3 linked regions of the Oryctolagus cuniculus genome follow. Each later gene encodes a partner of the first gene's protein in a complex. Links are inferred from orthologs where the notes say so. Each region holds a gene or a part of one and is shown in the gene's direction. Other genes may lie near its edges. The genes, in order: IQCG, GAS8 and DRC12.

The links.
Region 2: IQCG (region 1) and GAS8 share a complex: the UniProt entries of both Homo sapiens proteins name them as parts of the nexin-dynein regulatory complex. The link is inferred for Oryctolagus cuniculus from reciprocal best matches to the Homo sapiens genes DRC9 and DRC4.
Region 3: IQCG (region 1) and DRC12 share a complex: the UniProt entries of both Homo sapiens proteins name them as parts of the nexin-dynein regulatory complex. The link is inferred for Oryctolagus cuniculus from reciprocal best matches to the Homo sapiens genes DRC9 and DRC12.

The regions. Positions count from the first base shown.
Region 1 is NC_091435.1:82,161,197-82,167,381, forward strand, and holds the end of IQCG (dynein regulatory complex protein 9), read left to right. Parts: intron 1-1,308; coding exon 1,309-1,410; intron 1,411-3,698; coding exon 3,699-3,833; 3' UTR 3,834-5,748; downstream 5,749-6,185. UniProt on the Homo sapiens protein: Component of the nexin-dynein regulatory complex (N-DRC), a key regulator of ciliary/flagellar motility which maintains the alignment and integrity of the distal axoneme and regulates microtubule sliding in motile axonemes.
Region 2 is NC_091449.1:69,571,702-69,579,219, forward strand, and holds part of GAS8 (dynein regulatory complex subunit 4), read left to right. Parts: intron 1-2,144; coding exon 2,145-2,199; intron 2,200-3,189; coding exon 3,190-3,395; intron 3,396-3,846; coding exon 3,847-4,014; intron 4,015-4,359; coding exon 4,360-4,446; intron 4,447-6,025; coding exon 6,026-6,235; intron 6,236-7,518. UniProt on the Homo sapiens protein: Component of the nexin-dynein regulatory complex (N-DRC), a key regulator of ciliary/flagellar motility which maintains the alignment and integrity of the distal axoneme and regulates microtubule sliding in motile axonemes.
Region 3 is NC_091432.1:111,114,718-111,122,801, forward strand, and holds the end of DRC12 (dynein regulatory complex protein 12), read left to right. Parts: intron 1-799; 5' UTR 800-811; coding exon 812-881; intron 882-1,212; coding exon 1,213-1,278; intron 1,279-2,311; coding exon 2,312-2,431; intron 2,432-2,906; coding exon 2,907-2,999; intron 3,000-5,320; coding exon 5,321-5,451; intron 5,452-5,668; coding exon 5,669-5,797; 3' UTR 5,798-5,865; downstream 5,866-8,084. Other genes in the region: NHERF4 (Na(+)/H(+) exchange regulatory cofactor NHE-RF4), read right to left, coding at 6,317-6,502, 6,782-6,982, 7,450-7,677, 7,762-7,958. UniProt on the Homo sapiens protein: Component of the nexin-dynein regulatory complex (N-DRC), a key regulator of ciliary/flagellar motility which maintains the alignment and integrity of the distal axoneme and regulates microtubule sliding in motile axonemes.

The DNA.
Region 1 (6,185 bases):
GTGAAATGAGAGATTTCTTTCTCTGTCTACCTCTCAAATAATTAAAAAAAAAAAAAGATAAATGTGCATTTCCCTCAAACTTTTTGAAGTAGTCTCATATGAAAATTCTGTTAAAAAATAATCACATTATAATTATGCATTTATTTGAAAGGCAGAGATAGAGAGAGGGAGAGACAGAGATCTTCCATCTGCTGGTTCACTTATCAATTGGCTGCAATGGCTACGGCTGGACCAGGTTGAAACCATGAGCCTGGAACTCCATCTGGGTCTCCCCTGTGAGTTGCAGGGGACCAAGTACTTATGCCATCTTCTGCTGCCTTCCTAGGCACAATAGCAGAGAGCTGGATCAGGAAGTTGAGCAACTGGGACTTAACTGGTGCCCATATGGGATGCTGGCATCTCAAGCAGAGGCTTAATCTGTTGCTGCACAATGCCGGCCCAACATCACATTATTTTGAGGTTGTTAATATATACATTATCATTTAAAAATTTTAAAGTAAAATCTTAAAATTTTATTTATTTGAAAGGGGGAGGGAGAGAGAGGAAAATAAAGTTACATGACCTTCCATCTGCTGGATCATTCCCCAAATGCCCTCCACAGCCAGGCCAAAGCCAGGAGCCTAGAACTCAATCCAGATCTCCCATGTAGGTGGTAGGGACCTAAGTACTTGAGCCATCACTTGCTGCCACCAGCAACGCTGAAACTGGCAGTGGAGCCAGGACTCAAACGCAGGCACTCTGGTTCAGCATGTGATGTACTACAGAGTGGCGTCTTCACCGCTGTTCCAGATAGCCACCCCTATTCTTTCATTTTTATGAAAATTTACAACTTGTTTGAATTAATTGAGCTGAAAAAATCTGGGGGGCAACTATAGTTATCATGTGAACATTTGCAATTCAGGAATCCACTAAGTTTTTTTTTCTTTATACTTAAAAAACTTATTTGAAAAGCAAAGAGACAGATATCTTCCATCTGCTGGTTCACTACCCAGATACCTGCAAGTTAGGAATGGGCCAGGCTGAGGCCTGGAGCTGGGAACTCAAATCTGGGTCTCCGTGGGTGGCAGGGACCCAGTTACTTGAACCACCACCTGCTGCCTCCCAGGGTGTGCACTAGGAAACTGGGACCTAAACCCTGGCACTCCAGGATAGGAAACAGGTATCCCAAGTGGCATTTTGACTTCTATGGCAAACACTCACCCCTAATTTATCTTTATATTTAAAATACTTTCTGTTACCTATCTTAAATTGAAAGTATAGATCTGGTTGGGCGATTGTTTAACACATAACTAATGTCTGTTTTTGCAGATAAGGGAGTATGAACAGGTCATCATCGAGGATCGTATAGAAAAGGAGAAGACGAGGAAGAAGATAGAACAGGATGACCTGGAATTAAGGAGCATCATAAAGGTAGGAAACAAGCCTCGGCCTCTCAGGGTCCCTCAGGGCCACTGATGGCCTCAGGTGCGGAACACAAAGCTTTTCTCATACCAAACTCTCAGCCGCTTACCGCAGAATGGGAGGGCCCTGAGGAAGTGTGGCTGTTGGTTAGTGCTGGAGTCTTCCAGCACTGATTAGAAAAAGGTGGTTAGCAGCAGAAGCAACACCCGGGTCCACAGGTGGAATATGATTTCTTTCTTTTTTTTTTTTTTAAGATTTATTTTATTTATTTGAAAGACAGAGTTACAGAGAGAGGTAGACAGAGAGAGAGGTCTTCCATCCGCTGGTTTACTCCCCAGATGGCTGCAACGGCCGGAGCTGCGCCAATCCGAAGCCAGGAGCCAGGAGCTTCTTCTGGGTCTCCCGTGTGGGTACAGGGGCCCAAGGACTTGGGCCATCTTCTACTGCTTTCCCAGGCCATAGCAGAGAGCTGGATCAGAAAAGGAGCAGCTGGTCTCAAACTGGAGCCCATATGGATGCCAGTGCTTCAGAACAGGGCTTTAACCCGCTGCGCCACAGTGCCAGCCCCGGAATGCGATTTCTAACCAAACCAGCTCTTGCCAGAATGATTCCTTTGAATGTACTGCTCCCTAAAGTCTTGTCTGCAAATCAGACTGCTGGGTTCTGATAGAAGCGGGTTAGGGATTAAAGACCCTAGTTAGTTATGTGTGAGCTTGTGTATATTAGTAACTGTGGCAGCTCACAGTTCCTGGGAAATACTTTCAGGCAAAAATGGTGATGCAGAAGTCCTGTGAGCTGGACTGACATGCTGTCCTCAGACTGCCCTTCTCCCCGCAGGAGGGCCATCTGCTGAGCCCTGGTGGGCAAGCAGCTTTCAAGTACACCTGGGACCAGGCACGCAGACCCAACCCGAGCTTTCTTTGAGCCAGGTCTATATAGTTAGCACGTATTTATCAAGCTTCTATGGAGTTTTCCATCCATCAGGATTCTTCTATTTAGAGCAAAAATGTAAAGAAGCTGAAGGCCACTTATATTTCTCTTCACTGGTGGATCTGCTTCCCAGTCACTAGGACTTAATTTGATTTTTTTTTTTTTAAGATTTATTTATTTGAAAGTCAGAGTTACACAGAGAGAGGAGAGGCAGAGAGAGAGGTCTTCCATCTGATGGTTCACTCCCCAATTGGCTGCAATGGCCGGAGCTGTGCTGATCCGAAGCCAGGAGCCAGGAGCTTCTTTTGGGTCTCCCACGCGGGTCCAGGGGCCCACGGACTTCGGCCATCTTCCACTGCTGTCCCAGGCCATAGCAGAGAGCTGGATGGGAAGTGGAGCAGCCGGGTCCTGAACCAGCACCAATATGGGATGCCGGCACTTCAGGCCAGGATGTTAAACCTCTGTGCCACAGCACTGGCCCCACTTAATTTGATTTTAAAGTGGACTACAGTGTATTCAGAACAGTTACATCTAACAGAGGTATTCAAGGGAGCTCCCTAGAGCTTTTTTTTTTTATTTTTTTATTTATTTTTTTGATAGGCAGAGTGGACAGTGAGAGAGAGGTCTTCCTTTTCCGTTGGTTCACCCTCCAATGGCCGCTGGGGCTGGCGCGCTGCAGCCGGCACACTGCACTGATTGAAGCCAGGAGCCAGGTGCTTCTCCTAGTCTCCCATGCGGGTGCAGAGCCCAAGCACTTGGGCCATCCTCCACTGCACTCCCAGGCCACAGCAGAGAGCTGGCCTGGAACAGGGGCAACCGGGACAGAATCCGGCGCCTCGACTGGGACTAGAACCTGGTGTGCTGGCGCTGCAGGTGGAGGATTAGCCTGTTGAGCCACAGCACCGGCCTCCCTAGATCCTTTTTGAGAGTAAGAGGCAAATGGGTCCTTTACTCAGTTACTACAGATAGGAGATGTACCAGGAAGCCCAAGGTCATCTGGGCTCATCTGCACATTTTTGATTGAGTGCTTGCTTTTCCCCCTGCCCAAGCACCAAACACTGTTGGTTATGGGGCACCTGGGTGTCCATTAAAGGAAGCAGCCGTACAAGGAAGTCAGGTATCTAAGTGGGAAGGACTATTTGGCAAAACAGATTCCTTCCTGTATCCTTAGTCCTCAAGAACTTAACTCAAGTCCATGGCTTTAGCTCTGGGTCCTGTGCAGCAGGGAAGCATTGCCATGGTGACTGGGTACCTAGCCACTTCCATGTCCTAGGCAGAGACCATTCTCTGACACAGGTTACCTGGTTCAAAAACCCCCTTAGGTGGAAGGCCCACCAGAGGTGGTACTCACACGTCCTGTCTTTCAGCTTCAGGCCTGGTGGCGCGGCACTGTGATACGGAAGGAAATTGGTGGCTTCAAACTGCCCAAAAAGGAGAAAGATGATAGCAAAGAATCAAAAGGCAAAGGCAAAGACAAGGACAAGAGGAGAGGCAAGAAGTGACTGAGCCATTTCTGTCCTTTCTCCTGGTGTTCCAGAGATGGGAAGGGGTGCTTGGAGGGAGAATGATCTCTTTGCACCACAGGTAACTAATCCAAGGTTAACTTGGACTCGGCAAGGGAAGGCTGGTGGTTTCTTTTTGCCTGTTGCATTAGTTTTCAAACCCTGAATCAGGAGTGTACTGTTGACTTCAGGTGTCCTTATATTCTGAATGCTGCCGGCAAGTATATCCAGTAGCCTTATGAAGGTTCTTCCTGCCTTTTCACAAAAAAAAAAAAAAAAAAAAAAAAAAAAAAAAAAAAACCAAAACAAACAAAAAAACAAAAACAGTTCATAGGCTTTGTCATAGTGATACACTAACACACACTTGGGTAATTCCTACAATGTCTCATTCTGACTTTATCCAAAGTGTATACAGGGAAACAACTCTTATGAACAAAACTGAGGTGTTCAGTAGGAATTACAAGATAACGTTTTTAAAGTGTCTCACAAAGTATACACATAGTAAAGTAGTAGTAAACATTGGTTTTTGCTTGCCTTAGATTTATTACCATTTTAGTGTTTTTACTGGGGGGCAGGTGGCATAGAATACATATCCTATTATAGGCTGCTTATGTGAATTTCCTGGGAAATAGGTGAGGATAAAAATTAGGAATTCAAGATAGAAATGAGATGTTAGGACATAAATATGGCCTACAAATAGTAAAGATGGCAACACTTCTCTTGAAGGCTAGTTTGGAGATAGTTTGCACAAGTGAGACGTTAGGGTCTCTCTCTGCTCCGCTTACTCAACAATTCCCACCTAAGGGGCATGAAGGCTAATAATTAAGGTATGTGAAAAGAAGCACCTGTGCCTGGCTGACTGTTCGAGCCCATAAGGCCATTCTTGCTCTCATGAATCCAAATAGAATGTCTTGGGATGCTAAAGCTGTCCTGGTGGCATAACTGGGTATTTCTGGGAGAAAAGTTACCCTTAATGTGTCATCTGTGTTTCATGAACTCCAAATGCGGAGTAGTCTGGATATCTGCTCCCTTAATAAAGTACATTTTGATTTCAAAGGCCTGTTTCACAGACCAGTTCCTTCAGGGAATTCACTACCCCTCCAGAATTCATCTTAGCTGCAGTAACCATACTTGATGTATGAATACGTTCAAACATTTATTTACATGCTACTTAAGTGTTGGCTTTTATTTTAATGTCAATGTGTAAGGCAGCATACAGTCAATTTAAAATAACATATATGATACTGACATATTTATACTTAGAACATATTATGCAATGTATTTACAGACATACAAATATAGGACAGTTTTACAAAACTTGCTAATTACACGTTTTTAACATATCCAGACATAAGATGAAATCCTGCTGTAAACCATCTCACTGTAATGTGTACATAAAAAGACTTCTGAATATCCATGGGTTCCTTCACTTCTATAACCATTTAAGAGCTTAGTTTATATGAATTCAGCCGTGTCAGCACAGTCACACATCGTTAGTCACCGCTGAGCTGTGGAAAGTAGGAGCGGTCAGACTCCTGGGTTAGGTTTCAGAAGCTGACAGGGAGCATGACAGCTGCTTGGCCTCTCTGCTCTGTTCCAGCCAAGCACAAAGGCCCCTCTTCCCAGGAGCTGTTTCCAGACGTGGGCATTGGGAGAGAGGGTTGGTGTGCAGGGTTCTCAGAGATGCGCCAGGAAGCTGGGGAACTGCTGCCAGCATCTCTGTAGGTGGCAGGCCCCTCTGGGTGGGCACTCAGCCTTTTCGGGGTCAGGGCTGGCAAGGTCAAGGTCACTGCTGCAGGTCAGGGGCACTGTGACAAGGACATCTTCATCTTTCATTGGAGCCCAGCAAGACTAAATGTTAAACTGAGTTGTTCTTTCCAGTTAAAAAAAAAAAAAAAAAAAAAAAAAAAAAGAACTACACACAAAACACTGAATACAAAATGTCTTAAAAAAAAAAACAAAAATGATTTTTGTTTCCTGAAACAAACTCAATATATTTGCTACTTTTCATTACCAAAACTCTACACAAATGTTTCCAACAGTTCAAATGCAAATGTGAATTAGTTCAATAAAAATAATATTAAGGTTTCATGTTATGTGCAAAATTTGAAATCAACTTAAATTTCCACTTATTCCAATGGAAACATTTGTTGCCAATGCTGCATTATGTAATGTCTTCTGGAATTATTCCTTGCATAATGTTAAAAACAGGCCAGTCCTTTGTAGACTTTCATTTCTGGTGGTGCTCTGTAATTTGGAGATTGTACTGAGGTTTAATGTTGACTAGAAGGAAAAACACCTACAGTTTAAAACTACTAAGGCTTAAATTCTAAGCAAGTTCCAAGGCTGGTG
Region 2 (7,518 bases), on another chromosome or scaffold:
CGCCGGCCTTGCACAGTCAAGTTTTGAGTGAGTCTGGGGCTGAGCCATTCTGAGGGGTGCTGGAAGTTTCTAGGTAGCGACTGAGACACGTTGGCTGAGTGCACTTGGGTACCAGGCCCTCAAGAGGCCTATTCTAGGGGGCTGGTGATCTAGAAAGGAGACGAGACAGTGCACAACATAGTATATAGAATTTGAGTGACAGACACTCACAGGTATGGCTCAGCTTAAGGGGGGGTCCCTGTTGGAGGAGCAACGTGGTGCAAGAGTGGGGAGCAGGAGTGAAGGGAGGCAGCCGTTTCCTCCGAGGGCTCTGGGAAGCACTCCCGGAGGGGGCAGCGTCTGGCAGAGGCCAGAAGGAAGGAGGTGACAGCCCCAGAGAGGGGCTGGGCCCATGGGAGGGCCCAGAGGCCAGAGGAGCGAGGAGTGAGAGGGCTGAAGGGAAGCCGCAGGGCTCGTGGGCCTGAAAAGCCACAGTGAGTTGGCTGTCAGTAGCGTTTTGAGAATTTGGGCAGAGAGGAGCTGCCTTTGACTTCAGTTTTCAAGGTTGCTCCTGGCTGCTGGATTGGGCAGAGTTTCTTCACACGTTTGTCTCATGTCTGGAAGTAGCCCAGCCTTGACAGAAGCTGGAGGGAACTTCAGTGGCAGCGAAGACTGCATTGTGGGCCGCTGTAGCTCCGACTCTGGTTTTGGGTGAGCTGAGTGATGTGAGGCTGTCGGCATAGCCTGAGTCCTAGATAGGAGGCTGTTACATAATCAGGGCTCTCCTTTCTAGAGCAGTGAAAAGATTGCTCTAAAAATAAATTTTTATTCAAAAACTTGCAGTAATTGCTTATCATGGTACGTGTTGAGTGCTGCTCTAAGCACCAGTGAGGCAGAGTAGCAGGAGCTGGTGAGGGACCTGGAGAGCCCACAGTCGTGCGTAGACAAGGCACTGCTTCTCAGCGTGTGAGAGATGGAACTGTGCTCAGTGCCTTGTCTGCCGCTGCTCTCTCAAGCTTGGTAGGAGGTGACCCAGCCGGCTGAAGGAAGTGCCTTAAGAGATACGGGGGTTGGATTGGGGTCGGTACTGTGACGTAGTGGGTAAAGCTGCTGATTGCAGTGCTGGCTTTCCATATGGGCGCTGGTTTGAGTCCTGGCTGCTCCTCTTCCGATCCAGCTCCCTGCTATGGCCTGGGAAAGCAGTAGAAGATGGCCCAACTCCTTGGGTCCCTGCACCCATGTGGGAGGTCCAGAAGAAGCTCCTGGCTCCTGGCTTTGGATCGGTGCAGTTCCCGCCGTTGTACCATCTGGGGAGTGAACCATTGGATGAAAGACCTCTCTGTCTCTCTCTGTCTCTCTCTCTGCCTCGGCCTCTCTGTAACTCTGCCTTTCAAATAAATAAATCTTTAAAAATAAAAAAAGGTGTGGAGGTTGGGGCAGGTACTTGCCATAGGGGTTAAGCTGCTGCATAGGGCACCGGCAGCTTGTAGCATACCCGAGTGCCTGGTTTGAGGCACAGTCCTCTGCTTCCCATCCAGCTTCCTACTCTGGTGCATCCTGGGAGGCTTAAGAAGTTGGGTCCCTGCCGCCCATGTGGGTGACCTGGATTGAGTTCTTGTGTCCTGGTTTTCACCTGGTCCAGCCCTAGCTGCTGCAGGCATTTTAGGGAGTGAATAAGTGGACATATGGACAGTTTCTCTCTGTCTGCTTTTCCAGCAAAAAAGGTACCATCTTAAGAAAAACAGGAAGAAATGTGTCCCATGTCAGAGTGCCTGGATTTGACATCTGACCTGCCCCTGGCTACACACTCCACTGTTTGCTAATGTAGACCCCAGAGGCAGTGGTGGTGGGCTAAGTCATTGGGTCCCTCACACCCACATGGGAGACCACTGGCTTCTGGCTTGGGCCTGGCCCAGCTCTGGCTGTTAATGGGCACTTGTGGAGTGACCATTCCAGCAGATAGAAGCTCTCTATTCTGTCTCTGTCTCTCTGACTCTTAAATACAGAAGAGGGGAACCAGAAAGCATGGAGGTGACCAAACCATGTTAGCCAGCAGCAGCGCAGGATTTTCTGAGCTGGATGTCTCCTGGAGGGTGGGAGTGTGGTCACTGCAAAGGAGGGGCGCTTCCTCTGGTCCTGCTAATAACTGACGTTCTCCTCTGCAGAAACACACCGAGGAGATCACTAAGATGCGGAACGACTTTGAGAGGCAAGTTCGAGGTCAGTCTCTCCCATTCACACTGTGCAGCCTGGGGCCAGACCCCGCCGACAAGAAGCAGCCACGTCCAGAGCTTGCTCAGTCAGGGTACATAAAGTGGATCAGAGCAGCCCAGGAATGCAGAGAGCTCACTTCCACGAACGCTTGGGACGCTGCGCTCCCTCACTTACCTGCTCCTGGCTGGGGTCAGCGGCTGCCAGCAGGCATTTGTTTTTTTTTATTTATTTTATTTTATTATTTTTATTATTATTATTTTATTGACAGGCAGAGTGGACAGTGAGAGAGAGATACAGAGAGAAAGGTCTTCCTTTTCATTGGTTCACCCTCCAATGGTCGCTGTGGCTGGTGCACTACGGCCGGCGCACCGCGCTGATCCGAAGGCAGGAGCCAGGTGCTTCTCCTGGTCTCCCATGGGGTGCAGGGCCCAAGCACCTGGGCCATCCTCCACTGCACTCCCGGGCCATAGCAGAGAGCTGGCCTGGAAGAGGGGCAACTGGGACAGAATCCAGCGCCCCGACCGGGACTAGAAACCGGTATGCCGGCGCTGCAGGCGGAGGATTAGCCTATTGAGCTATGGCGGTGCCAGCAACCAGCAGGCGTTTGTTAGTCACTCTGGTGGCAACGTCGGAGGTTCATCTTCTCCAGGCCTCCTGGTCGTCCGGTTTCAGAAGTCGGCCTGGTTTCCAGTAAAGCCTTGTCATCTTTGGCTGCTCCAAGGCCATACGGGCCGTGGTTGGTGCCCGCCGGCACTGGCTGACGCTCAGCTGCTGGGAGCCCTGGCAGAGGAAGGCAGCGTATGCTGAATGTGTCCCCTGTGCGCCTCGGCAGGAACGATCCACCTGCACCGTCCTGCTCTCCTGTGGAGACCTTTATGCACCTTGGTCTTGGCCGTGGAAGGTGTTCTGGGGCCCTGTTCACAGACCCCATCTGTGTAACTGCAGGGGCACCTGTTCTTCCTCTTGTAAGCTTCTGTGTGCGCTGCTGCCTTTCAGAAATTGAGTCCAAGTACGATAAGAAGATGAAGATGCTTCGGGATGAACTTGACCTGCGGAGGAAGACTGAGATCCACGAGGTGGAGGAGAGGAAGAACAGCCAGATCAACACACTGATGCAGCGCCACGAAGAGGCCTTCACCGACATCAAGAACTACTACAACGACATCACCCTCAACAACCTGGCCCTCATCAACTCCCTTAAGGTGCTGGGAGACACAGTGTGCCTGTCTTAAAGCCCACTGGAGGATGCCCCTCTGCCGTCCGTCCTTTGAATTCACAAACGTGCCTAACTGAAGCCAGTCAGAGCATCTGCCTGGCTGCACTGTAGAGGGAAGAAGTGGTATGGGAAGGCTCAGGCACACCCGTGGCCGGCATACGGCTGCGGTGCACTGGACTGGATGGCACGGAGTCACTCAGACGCTGGCAGTGGTAAGGTTTCCACAGCAAGCCAGCTTTGATGGAATCCCAAAGTGTCATCTCTCTGCCTGGACGCTGCATTCCTAGAAAATTCAGAATCAGTTAAAACTGTGTGTAAATACTCTGTTTATACACGTACCTGTTGGTGAGACTGAGGACAGCTGGCCTTGCCCTGCAGGCCGTAGCCCCTCGTTTCTGCCCAGCTAGCACCTCCCGTACCTCTGCTTGTGCTGACAGGAGCAAATGGAGGACATGCGGAAGAAAGAAGAACACCTGGAGAGGGAGATGGCGGAGGTGTCCATGCAGAACAAGCGCCTGGCCGACCCGCTGCAGAAGGCGCGGGACGAGATGCACGAGATGCAGAAGCAGCTTGGGAACTACGAGCGGGACAAGCAGATCCTGGTTGTGAGTGTCCTGCCCACTTCTCTCCTTCCTGGGCTCAGGAGGGAGCGAGCGGCGGGGAGACGGCTGAGACGCCTGAGTGGCCTTTGCCCTTAAGTCAGGAATGGAGGGCTGGGGGCTGCAGTCTCCTGTGTGTGGCTGGTGCCGGCCTGGGGATGTGAAGTTGGCGGGTGTCCTGGGAGATGGCCCTAATCTTTGATCGTGTCCCACCAGCTGGCCGTGGTGGGAGGCAGCTGCTTGCATCTTCACACCGGTGGTTTCACTCGGTTCTCTGCGCCCTGCCTGTGTGTGAGGGATGCCTGTGAGTCCTGAGTGATTTCTAGGTCCCGTTGCCTGTTGTCTCTCCAGTGCACAAAAGCGCGTTTGAAAGTCACTGAGAAGGAGCTGAAAGACCTGCAGTGGGAGCACGAAGTGCTGGAGCAGCGGTTCCTGAAGGTGAGCGAGCACCGGGCTTGCCTTCAGTGTGGCCAAGACCCCTGCCAGCTGGTCAGGGCTGTCCTGGGGCCTCGACCCCTGTCACCCGCTCCAGGAGGTTTTGACAAGCGGCTAGTTTCTGGGTTTGAAAGCTGGAGTTCCTTTTTAAAAAAAGATTTATTTTATTTATTTGAAAGAGGTAGAGAGAGAGGTAGAGACAGAGAAAGAGGTCTTCCATCTGCTGGTTCACTCCCCAGATGGCTGCAATGGCTGGAGCTGCGCCGATCGAAGCCAGGAGCCAAGAGCCTCTTTTAGGTCTCCCACGTGGGTGCAGGGGCCCAAGGAGTTGGGCCATCTTCCACTGCTTTCCCAGGCCACAGCAGAGAGCTGGATCAGAAGAGGAGCAGCCAGGTCTAGAACCAGTGCCCATCTGGGATGCTGGCACTTCAGGCCTCTGCCACAGCGCCGGCCCTGAAAGCTGGCGTCCTTAATGCTGGCTCTGTACTTCACGCAGCTTGTAGGAGGCAGAACCTTGGGGCCTGTTCTGCAGAAGGTGGCCCGGTGGTGGTGGCTGCGCCCTCTCTGTCTCCTCAGAAGCCGGCCTCTCACACAGGTTGGGTAGCTTGGCCCCTCACGGCAGCCCTTTTCATCGCCCTGTGTCACGTTCCTGAGCACTAGCCTAACTGCACAACGTGGCACTGTCCATCGTGCAGGTGGAAAGGAGCCGACCTGCTGCCCAGTAGTGGCCCTCAAGGGGGAGGCAGTGTCGTGAGCCTCTTTCTAGACATGGTCTTCTTCCTGTGTGCTTTACTGTAGAAACTGGGATTGTGTTGTAACCAACACTTGCATTTTTTTTTAAAGGTTTGTTTATGTATTTGAAAGTCAGAATTACAGAGAGAGAGAAAGAGAGATATCTTCCATCCTTGGTTCACTGCCCAAATGGCTGCAGTGACCGGAGCTGTGCCAGACTGGAGCCAGGAGCTTTTGCCAGGGGCCCAAGCACTTGGGCCATCTTCTGCTGCTTTCCCAGACACATTAGCAGGAAGCTGGATGGAAGAGGAGCAGCCAGGACTCGAACCAGCACCCCTAAGGAATTCTGGCTTTGCAGGTGGCAGCTTAATCCGCTGCGCCACAGCACTGGCACTGCTTTTGACACTTGTGTGATGTCTTCATTCCTGTACAACACAGTCAGTAGCAGAGTTAGGAGAAGAGGAGAGTAGTTCTACCACTGGGCAGTGTGCTGGCTTCCAGACTGGCCATTGTGGGGTGCGTCGGCAGCAGTGGGATTCCAGGACCGCTCAAGGGGCCCCCCACCTCATAAATGCTTCCTGCTGGCAGTTAGATGCCTTGGATTTCACACACAGGTGGTCAGGGACAGGTGTCACTTGAGGTCAGAAGCAGTAGCTCAGGCTGTTGACCACTTGTGGATTGGCTTTTAGCTGGGGCTGCTCCAGCTCCCACCAGGATGCCCCTTTGCTGCCTGAGACCTTCCTGGGGGGCAGCATGTGCCCAGCAGGGGCAGGGGTGGGAAATGACCTCTCGCCAGGGACATGTCTGCAGGTAAGCGTCCTCGATGCTTACCCCAGTCCCGTCTCTGCAGGTACAACAGGAGCGCGATGAGCTCTACCAGAAGTTCACGGCCGCCATCCAGGAGGTGCAGCAGAAGACGGGCTTCAAGAACCTGCTGCTGGAACGCAAGCTGCAGGCCCTGAATGCCGCTGTGGAGAAGAGGGAGGTGCAGTTCAACGAGGTGCTGGCCGCCTCCAACCTGGACCCTGCCACCCTGACGCTTGTGTCCCGCAAACTTGAGGTAGGCCTTGGGCAGGCTTCTGAGGCGGTGCGGGCCAGGCTGGCCAAGCGGTGGGACTGCTCACTGCTGCCCCGTGCCTGTGTGGGCGGGCAGAGACCTCTCAGGTGACCGCAGGGGAGCTGCTGGTGGTGGCCTCTCAGGCTGTCGTTGCCAGCTTGTGGACACGTCAGTGGGGCTGCAGGCTGTCAGTCTCCCCCAGCCCCTCCTTCCTTCATGGTGCCTGAGACTCAGCCCCTCCCACTGCAGCCACCCAGACTGGCTCACGTCAGGTTCTTGTTACCTGAGCACAGCATGAGGACGGGTTCTCTGCGGGCCTGAGCTCTTCAGCGACAGACCCAGACACAGGCCTGGGGAGCAGCTGCGTCCCTGGGCTCTCCACCTAGGAAAATCACAGCCCCGGGGGCCCCCAGGAGAGGGTGGGTGGGGAGAGCCTTAGGTTGGTGGAGCAGGGGTAGTGAGGTCTCAGCAGACCCAGAACATTCACTCATTTGTGTCCATTGTTGCCTGCGGTGTTGCTCTCCTGGCCCTGGCATGGTGGGGGCAGCCTTGGCCCCCAGCAGACAGCTCGGGGATAGAAGAATCTGAAGCCTCAGACAGCCTCGTAGCTCAGCTTCTGCTGGTTGTCCAGCTTCCACAGCTAGGCCTGCGTCCATCCCCAGTAGCAGCAGGTGCAGCTCCCGCAGGGGCCCTTGGAGACAGACACAGGTCCTCAGCCTCTGGCTCAGCTGCTGCTCCCAAATTGGGCACAGCTGATCTCAAAGCCTGCAGCCTGCCCATCGAGGGGAGTCCCTTGTCCCTGAGATGGACCCTTGTGGGGCCAGTGGACTCCTCTCTGTCCCTCCTCCTTGTGCTGAGGTCGTCAGAGACACAGATGGCCTGGTTACAGATTTGAAGTGTCCTCATAGTTGATGGAGGGGTTTTGTTTTGTTTTGTTTTCCCCTAAAGATTTATTTATTTCAAAGGCAGAGTTACAGAGGCAAGAGAGAGAGAGAGAGAGAGAGAGATCCTCCATCTGCTGATTCACTCCCCAAATGGCTGTAATGGCCAGGGCTAGGCCAGGCTGAAGCCAGGAGCCAGGAGCTTCCTCCAGGTCTCCCACATGGGTGCAAGGGCCCAAGGACTTGGGCCATCTTCCTCTGCTTTCCCAGGTGCATTAGCAGGGAGCTGGATTGGAAGTGGAACAGCCAGGACACAAACCAGTACCTGTTTGGGATGCCAGCACTGCAGGTGGCATCTTTTTTTTTTTTTTTTTAAGATTATTTATTTATTTGAAAGAGTTGCAG
Region 3 (8,084 bases), on another chromosome or scaffold:
AATGGATTTAACTGTATTTTCTATTAACTTTTTTGTTCTTTTGTTGTTGTTGTTGTTCTCATTTCTCCCTTAATTGTAACTATGTTGAGAGTCAGAGAGAGACCGACAGAAAGACAGACAGAGGCCCCATCTGCTGGTTCACTCCCCCAATTCCCCTAATGGCTGGGACTGGACCTGGCCAAAGCTGGGAGCTGGGAACTCAGTCCAGTTCTCCCAAGGGGGTGGCAAGAATCCACCTGCTTGAATCACCCTGCTACCTCCCCGAGTCTCTGCAGCAGGAAGCAGAAGTCAGGCGCTGCAGCCAGGAGTGCAGCAGGCACTCTGATATGGACTGTGGACGTCTTGACCACTAGACCGAATGCCCAGTCTGTATCCCACGAACTTTCTAAAGTACCATTCGAGTGCCAGTTCAAGTCCTGGCTGCTCCACTTCTGATCCAGTTCCCTGTTAATGTGCCTGGAAGGCGGCAGAGAATGGGCAAGTCCTGGGGCCCCGGCACCCACGTGGGAGATCAGGGGTCCAGACTCCTTACTTCTGCCTGGCCCAACCCTGGCCACTGGGGCCATTTAGGGACTAAATCAGCAGATGGAAGATCTCTCCTTCCACCCCCTGCCCCAACTCTGGCTTTCAACTAAATAAATATTTTTTTGAAATAAATAAATCTTTAAAAAAGAAAGACTTGTGTCTTTAAAACAAGAGAAAGGGGCAGACTTGGAAAGCAGACTTCTGACCCTCCCAAGACTCCTGGTTCAGGATCCCCTTGTCCAGATTTGAAAGCAAGGTCCCCTCCCTCCATCAGGACAGCAAGGAAATGCCACCCAAGACCAAACAGAAAGGCAGGAAAGCCGGCGTGCAGAAGAAGAAAAAGAACCCAGGGCCGGGTGAGTCGTCGTGGGTGGGGGTGGGTGCCCGTTTCTCTGGGTTCTGAAACAGAGACCAAGCAGAGGCCCGCAGCACAGTCCTCGCTGTCCAGATTCCACGGAGCTGAGGAATGGGGGAATGGTCACCCACGCCCTCCCTCGAGACCGCCCAGCTCTGTGCCTCCCCACTGGTCACCCATATGTTGAATGCCTCATCTGTGCTGGGCAGGGAGCACACGGTGCATGCTGAATGGACTCTGCCCGCAGGGAGCCCTCAGAGCTGGCTCAGGACGGAGTCCAGGGCCGGGGGCGGGGGTCATGTAAGCTAAGGCTCTGTCATTTGCCAGGACAGATGTGGAGGCCGAGTCCAAGCACAGACAGCTGGTGCTGGAGACGGAGCTGCTCCGAGACCGGCTGGGTAAGAAGGGTGAGCTATCTGGGACCACAGAAGCAGAGCAGTGGGGGCGCTGCTGTGTCCTGGCGGGACTGGACGTTTGGAGCCACGGTGGAAGCTACGCCAAACCCTAACCATCCCCTAGTGGAACAGGACAGGGAAGGCTGATGAGGGACGCTATTATTTACAGCCAGAACATGGAGGGAGGTTTTACTCCTTAGCAATGAAAAGCTCATGAGATCCTAGGAAAATAAAATGACCCAACAACCTGGAGAGACAGAAAGGGGCGGGCATTGTGGTGACATGGGTTCAGTCACCACCTGCGACACCAGCATCCCACTGGCTGCTCCACTGCCAGTCCAACTCCTGCTAATGTTTCTGGGAAAGCAGCCGGTAATGGTGCAAGTACTGGGGCCCAGCCCCAGCCATAGCAGCCATTTGGGGAGTGAATCAGTGGATGGACAATCTTTCTCTCTCTGTCTCTGTCTCTCTCTCTCTGCCACAGTGCCTTTCAAATAAATAAAATAAATACTTAAAAAGAAAAAAAAAAACAGAAAGAGAAAGAGAAAGAATAAGAGGTGGGGTGCCCTGCCCCCAGGTGTCTTTTATTTTTAAGATTTATTTATTTATTTGAAAGTCAGAGTTACATAGAGAGAGAAGGAGAGAGAGAGAGAGAGAGAGAGAGAGAGAGAGAGGTCTTCCATCCACTGGTTCACTCCCCCAGTTGGCTACAATGGCTGGAGCTGCACTGATCCGAAGCCAGGAGCCAGGAGCTCCTTCCAGGCCTCCCAGGCAGGTGCAGGGGCCCAAGGCATTGGGCCATCTTCCACTGCTTTCCCAGGACATAGCAGAGAGCTGGATCAGAAGTGGAGCAGCCAGGACCTGACTGGTGCCCATATGGGATGCCAGCACTGCAGGCAGTGGCTTTACTCACTATACCACAGCACCTGTTCCAGCTACCACCGGATTTCTAGAGACAGGAAAGGCCATCCAGCCCTCTGGGGCTGATTCAGCGGCCCTCAGCAGGCTCTGAGCAGGGCTCCGGGACCGCTCGCAGCTCTACAGGGGGAAGGGGCCCGTCGAGCCAAGGCTTCTGAAGAAAGGCTGAAGCAGAGGTTGCAAGAGTTGGAGGCTGAACTGGAAGAGGCCCGCAGCGAGGGGAAGGCCGTATATGCAGGTGCGTGGTCGGTTCAGCAGCTGGGCAGGACACAAGGGCCTGGGAGAAGATAAGAGGGGCTTCTGACTGCCGGGCCCGGTCTCAGCCTTCCCTGCGTAGCACAAAGCAGGCAACTCCTGGTGGATGCAAGGAGGCCTCTGGGCTCGCAGGCAGGGACCTTCCAGGGTGCCTGGGGCCAGTGTCAGTGCCAGCTGCACTGGGGGACACAGGACGCAGTCCCAGCCACTGTTTCATTCACTCAGCAGCAGTGAGCGGGCAGATGGGCTGGGGCCCTGATCCTAAGCCGGAGTGGGGAGGCGGCCTGGTGTCCTTCCCTTTCCCCAGGTGTCCAGGGTCTCCCAGCATCCCAGGATCACAGGAACTGAGCAGTTCCTTGGGCTCCTGTCTCCTGGACCACACAGTTCCTTCCCGCCCCCAACTCCTTGCCTTTCTCCATCCCTCCTCCATCCCTGGCCGTCCACCGTCCTCCCTCCAGAGATGAGTCGCCGGTGCAGGGCCCTGCAGGAGCAGATGGAGAGACGCAGCAAGCAGCTGGAGGAGGAAGTGAGGGGTCTCCGCAAGCAGCTGGGTAGGTGCCCCGCCCTGCCCTGGGCCTTTCCTCTCCAAGGGAGGCTGACAAGATCCAGGTTCAGTGCGGGGGCAAACTTAGGTCTTCTCCTAGAAGGCTGCCATCGTCTTCCCCTCCCCCAACCTTGGCTCCCGCAGTGAGGATCAGGCAGAGGTGAGGACAGCATGCAGCTCACTAGGCTAATCCTCCGCCTGGGGCGCTGGCACCCCGGGTTCTAGTCCCGGTTGCACCTTTTCCAGTCCAGCTCCCTGCTGCGGCCCAGGAAGGCAGTGGAAGATGGCCCAGGTCCTTGGGCCATGCACCCACATGGGAGACCAGGAGGAAGTACCCTGCTCCTGGCTTCGGATCCGCGCAGCGCACAGGCCGTAGCAGCCTTTTCGGGGGTGAACCAACGGGAGGAAGACCTTTCTCTCTGTCTCTCTCTCTCTGTCACTGTCTAACTCTGCCTGTCAAAAAATAACAATAAAAATAAAAATAAAAATAAAAAAAGACCCTTTAGGGCAAAGTAAGGAAGAGGCACACCTCGCCCTATCCCCCCTTGCCTGGAATCTCCAGACCCAGCTGTCACCTCACTCCCTGCCACTGCCACGTCTCTCCAGGGCATATCAGAGCACATCAAAATACTCATGGAAAAATGGAATTACAGGATAAGCTTAGGTGCAAGAAACATTGAAAATCTATGCATTTTTTAAAAGATTTATTTATTTATTTGAAAGGCAGAGTTACAGAGAGAGAAAGAGAAACAGAGACACAGAGATCTTCCATCTGCTGGTTCACTCCCCAAATGGCTGCAATGGCCTGTGCTGGGCCAGGCCAAAACCAGGAGCCTAGAATTTCATCTGGTCTCCCACATGGGTGGCAGGGGCCCAAGTACACGGGCCATCTTCCAAAACCTTCCCAGACACATTAGCAGGAAGTTGGACCAAAGGTGGAAGAACCAGGACTTGAGCCAATGCTCCCATGTGGGATGTGGGTATTACAAGTGGTGCCTTAATCCACAGCACCATAATGCTGGCCATTATTTCCAGTCATATTTCCTTCTAACTTTCTGAAATATTCTTCATCTCCCTTCTCAGGTTAGCTAATTTTTACAATGAAACTAAGGGAAAATGTTAGGCTTCTTAACTTCTATATCTCTAAGGCCTACCACCTGGTAGATCCTTTTTCCTAAATAAGTGGATAAACTCTCTATATAAGCAAAAATATAAAAGCCAGGAAGCCTTTGCTTCTCTTCCCTCTTGCTTCTTGGCCCAGTCCTGGCTGTTGCAGCCATTGGGGAAGTGAACCAGAGGATGGAAGACCTCTTTCTCTTTCTCTTTCTCTTTCTCTCTTTCTCTTTCTCTTTCTCTCTTTCTCTTTCTCTCTTCTCTTCTCTTCTCTTCTCTTCTCTTCTCTTCTCTTCTCTTCTCTTCTCTCTCTTCTCTTCCTTCTCTCTCTCTCTCAATATAAAAAATTATTTATTTGAAAGACAGAAAGGAGAGTTCTTCCATCCACTGGTTCACTTCCCAAATGGCTACAACAGCCAGGACTGGGACTGGCTGAAGCCAGGAGCCAGGAACTCCATCCAAGTTTTCCAAGGGCCCAAGCACCTGGGCCATCTTCTTCTGCCTTCCCAGGTGCGTTAGCGGGGAGCTGGATCAGAAGTGGGACAGCTGGGACTCAAACTGGCACCCTGGTGTGGGACGCCAGTGTCACAGTGGTGGCTTAACCCACCACACCACAACTCTGGCCCCTCATTTGCCCTTTAAGATGAAGAAACTGGGGTAGGTGTTTGGTGTAGCAATTAAGATGCTGACTGGGTGGCCCACATGTCATTTTGAAGCTCCAAGGTTTGAGTCACAGCTCCACTCCTGCTACTGTGCACCCCAGGAGGCAGCAGCTGATGGCTCAAGTAGTTGGATTCCTGCCACTCACGTCAGACACATGGATTAAGTTCCTGACTTCAGTTGCAAGCATTTGGGGAGTGAACCAGCAGAGAGGAGCCATGGTGTGTGTGTGTGTGTGTGTGTGTGTGTGTGTGTGTGTGTGTGTGCAAGTGCCCACAGATGCCTCTCAAATAAAGAAGAAACTGGGGTTTAGGGAGACATGCGTGAGCTTACACGAACAGTGACAACCAGACTTAGCCCCCAGCTCCTCTCCAAGCTCACTACTCATAAACCTCAATGGACCTTCAGCTCTTTGCAGGGACTATGAGGAGGTCGCTGACCTGGGCGGAGTCTGAAATGAACACACTCAGAGCCTCCTTTTCAGGTGCCTTTGGAGACTGTGCAAGCACCAAATTCACCGTCCTGTCCTCTCCCATCCTCTGCTCTGCTCCCCAGAGACTTGCCAGAGGGAGGCTGTGGCTGCACAGGGGGAGGCAGCGAGGGCCCTCGGAGAGCGGGACCACACCTTGGCTCAGCTTCGGGCCCACGTGGCCAGCATGGAAGCCAAGTACGAGGACATCTTACACGTGAGCACCCCGCCACCTCCACGAGCCCCACAGGGTGATGACTGACAACCCGGGGGGAAGAGAAGAAAGGGACTCCAAGGGACCCCTGCTCTGTCCCTAGCACAGGCAGAGGGAGTTCCACGGTGCCCACTCCCTTAGACCAGGAAGAATGCTGGCAGGGAGAGCTCACAAGGCAGCCGCCCTCTCTTCCTGGGGACTGGGAGCTTGGTATCCGCAGGGCAGCCTGGACCGGCTCCTGGCCAAGCTGAGGGCCACCCAGCCCCAGTGGGACGAGGCCGCACTGCGACTCCACGCCAGACACAAGGAGCAGCTGCGCCAGCTTGGACTCAACCCCCTGGATCTTTGAAGCTGCCAGCCTCTGGGCTCTGGGACCCTCTGAGACCCCAGAAATAAAATATCCTGAAGGAGAACTCAGCTGAACCGTGGGCTGTGGCCTTTTGTCATAAAGGAGTGGCTTCCGTGGGGACACCTCTGTTCTGAGCATCCCGTCCCTTGATCCACAAGGCTGAGTGATGAGAGAGAAAACCGGCAAAGTCCCACCCCTTCTCCTACAGAAACTGGAGCCCAGCCCCCGAGCCTGGGACCTCCAGCTCCCTTTAAACCACTGCCCCATATCTCCACCAACAAAAACACAGGCAGTCCGATTTATGGGGAAAGGCCATTTAAATAACAGACACACAGCGTCCAGGGGCCAGCCCCCCCAGCCCGAAGGTGCCCACTCAGGGAGGGGGTTGCTGGGTCTCCCAATTCTTGGACCCAGAGAGTCCCAGAGTGGCACCTAGGTCAAGTCCCAGAGGGCTTCCAGCCCAGCCAGCCCCACAGCACCCCCTTCTCAGGCAGAACTTAGTCCTCGGGGTGCAGCCATCTACAGCCACCGAGGGACATCCCCCGGCACCTGAGGCCCCCGAGGCCTCTGCCCCAGCCCTTCTGCTGACAGCTGGGCCATGGCAAGGGAGGGGGCTCCCGGGCAGTGCTGCGGTGGGCGGTGTCCGAGTCCTCCAGCCCCAGCTTCCGGCTGAGTGACAGCATCCTTGCCACCACCTCGGGCTGGCTGTGAAGACACGAGAGGCCCTGGGAGATCTCGCCAAGCTGAGGCGCTCTACAGCACATCCGAGGGGAGAGCCCAGTCCTGCTCAGAGACAATGGCAGAAGGTTGTCCCTGGACCCTGAGTGTCCCTTCGCCCTGCCCCCACTGCCCCCGAATGTGCAGGAGTGGCATTGTTCCGTGGATTCTCTGCCCCCCGACCCCGTGACTTGAAGTCCCACCCTGCAGCCGTCCCACTCTGGCCTTCGCTGGCGCTCGCAGTCCCACCTGTCTCTTCTTGCTCACCTCTCCAGACCCGGGGGGAGTCCAGGCCTCCGAGCCCCACTGAGACCTGGCCGCCAGCTTCAGGCAGAGGGGTGGCTCCGCCTCCGCCAGCTGCTGAAGCCTTTGCGGGGTGCCATCTCCACCCACGGAGACCCCGTTCACCTCCAGAACCATGTCTCCCCTTTGCAGCCCTGCGCGGGCAGCGGAGCTTCCTGGAGTCACCTGACGGCACAGAACAAGGAAAGGCCATGGGGGAGTCTGCCGGGTGCCAGTGCTCTATGGCTCTAGGAGGGAGGGAGATGGGCACTGATCAGGAGGAAATGCTGGGAAGGGGGCTGTGCTATGCCGTCTACAGCAATGGCATCACACATGGGCACTGGTTTGAGTCCTGGTTGCTCCACTTCCAATTCAGCTCCCTGCTAATACACCTGGGAAAGCAGCGGAAGATGGCCCAAGTCCTTGGGGCCCTGCACCCATGTGAGAGACCTGGAAGAAGTTTCTGGCTCCTGGCTTCAGACTGACCCAGCCCTGGCCATTGTGGCCTTTGGAGAGTAAATCAGCAGGTGGAAGATTCTCTCTCTCTCTCTCTCTCTGCTTCTCCTTCTCTGTACCTCTGCCTTTCAGATAAATAAATAAATCTTTTTTAAAAAATGCTGCAAAGGACCCAAGCTCCAGGGGGCATCAGTCACCTGGGAGATAAAGAGAAAAGGCCCACTGGCCACAAAACTGAGTCGGAAGCCATAGCCACCGCCAGGCCCAGGGTACAGGAGGCACCGGCAGGAGCCAGGAGGGAGTGGAGGCTCGGCGGCATCTTCAAGGCACGCATCCTCGGACTCAACCAGAGCAGCCACGTGGGTGTCCTGGGTGGCGGTGATGGCCTCTGTGTGCTCCAAGAAGAGGAGTGGGGAGAGGCGCACCTGGAGGGCCAGAGCGAGCGCACCTGTGGCACCTGCGCCTCGCTCCTGGCTTCCCCCTCCCTAGCCCTGGCCCTCAGCACGCACCATTCTGAAGAAGCGGTCAGCCTCAGGGTCGACGACGACGAGAGAGACACAAGCGCCCTGTGCCCGGATCCTGGACACTGTCTCCTCGTGGCCCAGCCCCTCCACGCTCTCCCCAGCCACAGCCACCAGCCGGTCCCCAGCCTGCATCCCGGCCTTCTCGGCAGGCAGTCCTGGGTCCACCTCCCACAGGAACTGCCCTAGGGCAGAGACATCCTCACTGCTCCCCCCACTCACACTCAGTTCTACCCCAAGCCACCACAGGCATGCACACGGGGGGCGGGGAATACACACTTGTGGGGCCGCCCCAGGTTCACCTGCCCTCC